Tribolium castaneum: one gene and its partner. The protein of the gene in region 1 interacts with the protein of each later gene in a pairwise test. Links are inferred from orthologs where the notes say so. Each region holds a gene or a part of one and is shown in the gene's direction. Other genes may lie near its edges.

The links.
Region 2: the proteins of uncharacterized protein LOC664374 (region 1) and Trs33 interact in a two-hybrid assay, tested with the Drosophila melanogaster proteins (2 studies listed by BioGRID). The link is inferred for Tribolium castaneum from reciprocal best matches to the Drosophila melanogaster genes CG5160 and Trs33.

Annotation. Positions count from the first base shown.
Region 1 is NC_087397.1:6,593,067-6,597,619, forward strand, and holds the start of uncharacterized protein LOC664374, read left to right. Parts: upstream 1-1,626; 5' UTR 1,627-1,827; intron 1,828-2,707; 5' UTR 2,708-2,720; coding exon 2,721-2,826; intron 2,827-2,878; coding exon 2,879-3,015; intron 3,016-4,553.
Region 2 is NC_087396.1:20,058,756-20,061,600, reverse strand, and holds Trs33 (trafficking protein particle complex subunit 6b), read left to right. Parts: upstream 1-1,455; 5' UTR 1,456-1,503; coding exon 1,504-1,593; intron 1,594-1,641; coding exon 1,642-1,703; intron 1,704-1,751; coding exon 1,752-2,079; 3' UTR 2,080-2,113; coding exon of another isoform or gene 2,114-2,202; 3' UTR 2,203-2,247; downstream 2,248-2,845. Other genes in the region: uncharacterized protein LOC103313595, read right to left, coding at 288-612, 663-835, 884-1,261, 1,310-1,450; Cbs (cystathionine beta-synthase), read right to left, coding at 2,114-2,202, 2,254-2,441, 2,524-2,836.

The DNA of each region.
Region 1 (4,553 bases):
ATCAGAAAACAATTTTGTTATTTTCCGATCGATAAATATTGTTTCTAATATTTTATCTCTTTTACTTAATCGAGTCACTGCTGCACTGACCCAGAATTTGAGGCGAAATCCAGAAAAATCACGCTTTCACGCTTAGATGAAATGTCATACCTCTTGATAACAATTCTAGAAATAAATTGAGAAAAATCTAATCTGTTCTTGTGGAGTGACTTAAGATAAACATAAATAAAATCGATTCGGAGGTAAACGAATTAAATTTCACAACGTGATAAGTTTTATTGAGCAAAAAACATTTTTATATCAAAATAATAGGATAAGAGTGGGAGGGTCAATCCGTGGAATTAGTAAACATTCTAATTTTAGCAGTTTTCTTAAAATCCAGCTGAAGTTACGGTGACTGGTTCCAAAGTCTTGTTTCACGCAGTGTTCATGATTCGACCTCAGAAGCGTGATTAAATAGGTGCAAGATTAAGTGATTTATGGGTCTTATAATTATATAACAAATCGTTTTACAAATAACTTCGTTATCGGAATCAATTATACGATATCCGGTTGTTAACGCCACGACTATCTTTGACTCATCCCAAAATAATCACAAGACAATAAATAACATCCTTGATTGCAACTGCAGACAATCGGATTTTTTCGCTAAGCCAACAGGAACCGCTCCTCAATTCTTGTGCCGAGCTTTAAACTTTTATTACCTGCAATAGCTGTTGGAAACCGCGCAGACAAAGCGTCATAACTCATCGTTCTTTTCCTATCGATTTTCTAGTAGTTTACAAACAAGCCGTTATTAATTATGATGACCCTCTTACTTGGATTTGCATAATGAGAGTAAATATCTGGAAGAGCTTAATAGTTTCAAACTTAGTTATTGCCATAATCCATTAACTTATGCAAATTAATTAAGAGTCAATTTTTACCGAGTCACAACTTGAGAAGGTGTCAATCGAAATTAGAGAAAAATTATTGCGTTTTCTATTAATTTTCACTCCTTGAACTTTGAAAGCAAAAATCGCTTTTTGTTCAAAAATAGCCGTTTGGACTGACAAACAAAATTATGTAACGTTGATCGAAGGTTCAATAAAAATAATTTTCTAATAAAGCTGTCAGATACCGATGTCTGTCGGGATCTTAATTTCAAGTCTGAGGACAAAATAAGAGAAACACTGATAAGAGACCGGGTTCGAGAGTCAACAGTTTTAAACGCCCCCAACATTGTTTCACCCTTCTATTGACTATTGGCTAAGCAAATAAGAATCACACAAAGCTTTGATCTCTTTGGGGCTAAATATTTAATTTCGCAGGTATTTACTTTGAAACTTAAGTAACAAAAGCTGTTGAAAACACGAAAGGCACACTTGCGAGTGACAGTTTTTCCTTTGAAATTAAAAATTAATTAGACTGCGTAATTGAACATAATGCCCACACAGCGTGGTGATTTCTCGTAGACTCTGATCTATCTGATTTATCCGAACGAAGCTCGAGCTTTCATCGCTGATCCGAGCGAGGCCACCTACGAAGGATAAATAGAATTAAGCCCATTGGTAATTCGGCGCCCATGAATCCGCTCACGTCCCATTTTTCCAAAATCTCCGTAAACATCGTAATGATTTCAAAGGGAATAAGTGTAAAAGCACTTGTAAATTTCGGTATAAATAGCGAGGAAACGCAAGCGCGTGCTTTATTCGCTTTCAATTCCACTAACCTACATTTGAACAGTTTGGCAAAAGCGCTCGGAGCTTTGGGACGTCGCAATAAATGTCGCAAAATTCGGCCACGTGCTGCGAGGTGGTGTTTTTTCGCTTAAATAGACCTTCACAGGTGCGTGTTTTCCCGCTTATTATTGACGTGACACGTGTGATTGATGTTGCTTTATTATGATTTCCTGCAAGTAAACACTTTTGAATTTCTCTAAGTCGATCAAAGTTGAAATTTTACCGCGAGGTGGTAAACAATCGGCGTCAAAGGGGGACTTTTAATTAAATCCACATCGATGCCAAGTGTCCGATAAATTGCTTTTCGAGCTTTTGTGCATTTGGAATTTTATTTTATTGGTGCAAGCGGAGCAAAACAATGCCAGGATTGCGACACGAGACTCATTTTAATTGATATTAAAGCTTACGTTTTAATCAAGGTTTAACCAGTTTTGCATGTCCTTTGAACTCCAAACAATAACTCGCCATGTAATGAAACTACGCCATAAATTTTGGGCCCCGAAGAGCTTTTTAGTTCGATAATAATTAATTAAAATTTTGTCTTACGTGACGAGCTTTCCGCCAAAAGCTGTCACATCCAGGCGCAACTTTGTGATGAGTCGTCTAAAGTTTCGTCTCCATTTATACTCCGAAATCTATTTTTGATGCAAGTGCATAAAATTTTGAGTAAGCTTTTCGCACTTTTATGCTCGGAATTGTTTTGGATTGAAGGCTGTTAAAGCGGCCCACCTTGGAGCGAGTAAGGACAACAAATAAAACAAAACAGCGACTTTTCAAGAGTTCAAGTGCATTTAAAACTAACTTTGTAGATAAATACCCGCTGCATTATTCATTCCTTGAACTCGTAAATTCGCACTCGGCTCCCGTCTCAATTATTTTTTTTACAATATTGATCCGTCACATTTCTCGGCAAACTTGTCCGAAAGTTTGATTAAAATTTCCGGTTTTTCTTTCTGGCGTTGATGAGGAAAACTTTATCGTTTCAGATGTGAGCGAAAAATGAACGCAACATCTCCGAAGTCCTCACTGGCCAAGCTCGGCCTCTACCCCCGACCGAAAACTTTGAAGGTCATGGTTTTGGGGCAAAGCGGTGTCGGAAAATCAGGTAATTGCCAGAGCGGCTATTTCTGGGTTTGTTTACCAGGCTTCCGTTCTAGCGATGGTTGTGCGATTTATTACCAAAAGATACATAGGCGAGTACGACCCGACTTTGGAAAAAGTTTACGCTTTCCACACAGTGATTGACAACGAGATGGTTTATTTTGATATCCTTGATACGGCAGGACAACCGCACGTAAGCTTTCGCCCTGTTTGCATGTCCGCTGTGCAAATGGCAGTGCAATTTGTTAATTAAGTTTCGAATTAAAGTTAATTACGCCTAGTTTGTCATAATAAAAGTCCGCGTATTTGTTATCGCCTGGAAGTGGTTGCAAGCGACTTTATTAAAATTAGAATGTTTACAATGGCGAGGAATTAGCAGGTGTTACATCATTAAAGCATTTTATTAACTGTTTATAAATATTTCGGACGTTGTAGCCGATTTATGTGAAAATGAATCGATTTTTTGATCAAACACCACTTATGCAAAAATAATTTTTGCATTTATCAAGTAATCATTTAGTGGCATCTTGTTGCCAACAACGCTGTTTCACGATAAAAATTTCGTCATTATTTTACTCCGTGTAAATAACAAGAATTTAATTAATTCGAATTTTATCAGTATAGTTTTATTTTTTAAACAATAGACGTGTGGTTTCGTGATCACGTAATTGTTTTATTAAATGTGTCTCTGAGTGTTTGAAAAAATCAACTTGACGATAATTGTTACAATAAAAAATAAAATTGCTATTTGGGCAATATATCAAGATGTCCGAACCTGATATTAGAGATAAACAACCGTTATAGATTAAGTATCAAGGGATAAGAAGACGAAGTAACGAAGATTTATGAGTGTACTAAAAGGAATTATTGAATTTCAACTCACTCAACGAACAAAAGCAATTATATCCGAACGGCAAACACACCTAGCCTGAGAAAAAAGACAAAATGGGCCGTTAGAAAGCAAACCTTTCTTATAATAAGCTTACACATTTTGAGAGGAAATTTTTGTAACCTTATTAAATTCAATTAAAAATTATTATTTCAAATTATTTGTATTAATAGCCTCACTGGATGGTATAAAGCATTTCCTTAGTAAAATAAGCTTTTATTGAAAAGTAAACAGCTGCCGTCAGTTGTGTGTCACTTAAAAAACTTGAAATATCACTCTTTCCAAGTAAACTGAATTAATTTCTGATTTAAAGCCTTTCATAAGAGGAGTGAGGTTCCAGCAATATGAAAAAGTCCATTGTTGACTTTAAATAGTTAGAAAATTAATCTTTTTTTACGAAAACTGTATAAACTAATCCTCTGATTTACATAAAATTATTTTCAAGAATACAGAATGTTTCCGAAATGAGCTACAATACAAACCTATCCAATTTTTTAAAGAAACATTCTATATTTTTTTGCGATTTTTGAATATAGCTTTCGACACTGCTGTTTTTAAGAGAAATTGTTATTGGTTTTTAAATTAATGTTTGTTTTTGAAATAATTTGATTTTTTAACAAAAAAAATTTTTTTTTAAATATTACATAAAAACTAAAAATCTTAGAAAAGTGTCCTGCTGAATATATTTTTCATGTTTTACTTATTTATTTATTTTATTATATTTATTTATAATTTGTCTGCGATCCTAATGACATACGCTCAACAACTGATACTGATTTAAGTTTGAACTTTTTCCTTTAAAATAGTGAACGTCCTACATTGCTTAGATTTTTTGTTTTTGT
Region 2 (2,845 bases), on another chromosome or scaffold:
CGAAGTATGCGCAGTGGCGCCAACAGACTATATTGCGACTGAAAAACTCCAGTTTTTGCCACTTTTTCAATTTCCGCCTGAATTAAAAGGCAATGGCAATGATGCTACAGCAATTTGTAAAGAATTGTTTATTGCAATAACACGAAAAATAGTAAATTACAAAAAACTCCCTCACCAACAATCACCAAAAACAAGGAAAAAAAAATTACCACGTTGGTGGCACTGGATACTAGTACAAAAGTTTTAAACACGAAATTAAAAAAAAATCTTATCAAGCGAAAAGTTTATTAATCTCTGAAACTCTGGGAAAATAGCAAACTGTCTTCATAACTCGTCTTAAAAGCCATTTCTAATTTCGTTTTCAAAGCCGATTTATGACCGGCAATTATGCTTTTCAAAGCTTGCTCAACATGGACCAGATTTGGACCCAAGACATCAATGGTATGCATTAGCAGTTTCCCGAAATTTTTATCATCCTGATGATCTTCGCAACTGTTGGACAACAACTGAACCAATTTATTTAAGACTTCATACTCCACTTGACTGTTTAATAAAGAATCAATTATAATTATGTAATTTTTGGTCAGTGTTTCAACCGAAAGTATAAAATCCCTACAAGAGTTAAATCACTAAAGAAAAATACTATTTAAAAAAATGTTTACCTGGCTAATGCGGTTTGAAAGTTTACATTCTTCACATATTGTAGAAAAATGTTAGTCTCGTGTTGTTCCAAAGACGGGACTAGTGCTAGACATTCCTCGTTTATTATAATGGGGTACTTTGAACTAAACTGCTCTAATAAATTCACAATTTTGTCGCAACATGTTTTCTTGGTCTAAAAAACGACATAAACATGTTACCAAACTGCTGTAAATATAAATACCAGCGGCATCAACAAATGGTGACAAAACAATCTAACTGGATCACCAGAAATGTTTTGTAGTGAAACTCCCAAATAGAAAATTCCATCACTTGTGAGACTATCCTCCAACATTTGAAATATTTTTGCCAAGTCTGTGGTTGCACATTTTGCGAGATACTCCGTGACGTTATCGGGTAAATCATTTTCGATTTCTACATTGTCTTTAATGGTACAAACTATGTCGTTTAGGGCTTTTTGGTCACAAGTTTTGGGCTCAACTTGTGGTGGTGGAGCAATTTCAGTGTCTTCGTCTGAGCATAAGTTAATTACTGGTGGCGATTTTGGCTGTGTTTCATTTGCATTTTTGCATTCCTCGACCTTTTGTATCAAGTGCGAAGGCTAAAAATCTTTCAAAACACAAAAAACAGCCAAGTTATTATTTTTTACCAATGGCAATATCGTTTGCCACAAAGTGGCTTTTTCCAAATCACAGTTTCGGTTTGTTGCTTGTTCTTTTGCCACTTTTATGAAATTAATTAACGCCGGTTCGGATTCTTTAGCAAATTGATAACGCGGTATTTTCCACATTTTTTTTTGAAAACTGACGTTTCTGACATGTGTCAAACAGTTCTAACCTTAAAATGTCAGACGATACACTTTTTGAATTTTTACATTCTGAAGTAATTAATTACTTCGTGAGCCGAAATGAGGATCAAAACGCGGAGGGAAAGGTGTATTTATTGACTTTTGTGGCAAATGAACAATTTAAATGTTTCTAGGACGAAGATTTGTCCGCAATTGAGTACATGGGGTTTTCAACAGGCTACAGGATAATAGAAAGGTGTTCCATCTAGTTTATCGTTACAGAGCCTCATTTAACTTTTCGTAGGTTGACGAAAGAAATGCCGCGTTTTAAGGACGAACTGGACACAATGAAATTCATTTGCACCGATTTCTGGTCAGCGATTTACAAGAAACAAATTGATAACTTGAGAACAAACCACCAAGGTGTTTACGTGTTGCAAGACAACGGTTTTCGATTTCTCACAAAGTTATCAAACGGGAAACAATATTTAGAGGTAGCCCCCAGATTTGCTGCATTTACTTGTGGGATTATCAGAGGCAGTTTGGCAAATTTAGGGATTGCAAGTCTTGTCACGTCAGAAGTGTTAAACATGCCGTCGTGTAAATTTCACATACAGGTTCAAAGGACGTAAAAAAACAATTTATCAAATTGGAATTTTTTATTTTTTATTTGGGCGTATTTGTTGAAATGTGATGTAAGAGATCAACTGCTGTAATAATTCCGATGGGTTTTTCAATTGTTGATTGTCCAATATCTAAAAATATAATTACTCAATAAATTACATTTAAGTTAGAGTAAATATTACTTTGTTTTTCCAAAACTAGAACGTAGTTCTCACGCTCTAAAATCCTTGAGACAAGCCCTAAAGTCGCATTTTGGTAAACCTTAGGGAAAACAGTGACGGAAGCCTTGTCTATGGAGTCACTGGGTCTCACATTGCCGCTGATCAAGACATTTAGAATTTTCTGCATCGTGACCATACTCAAAATTCCACTAAAATTAAATTTTTAATTTAAAAAAATTTTCTTGGTTTCAAATATTTTGATTTTAAGTTGGCAACTTGTACACAACTCACCCATTTTTGTCAACAATGGGCACCTGATCGATGCCTTGTTTTTTCATAACATGCAAGATCCTCTCGCATGTCATACTTGAAGTTGCAGTTATAAGCGCTTCCAGAGTGAAGTTGGCAACACTCTGGTCCCACCACCAGTGATTATTTGGATTGTCACACTGTTTGAAACCTTTCGATTCCATCCAGTGGTCCGAAACAAACTTTGTAATGTAATTCCTGATACTATCAGGAATAATAACGACGATTCTTTGCCCCTTTTTTAAATCACGGCCCGCTTTGACCGCCGCAGCAACCACGGCACCGGCGCTGCCACCTGTATTAA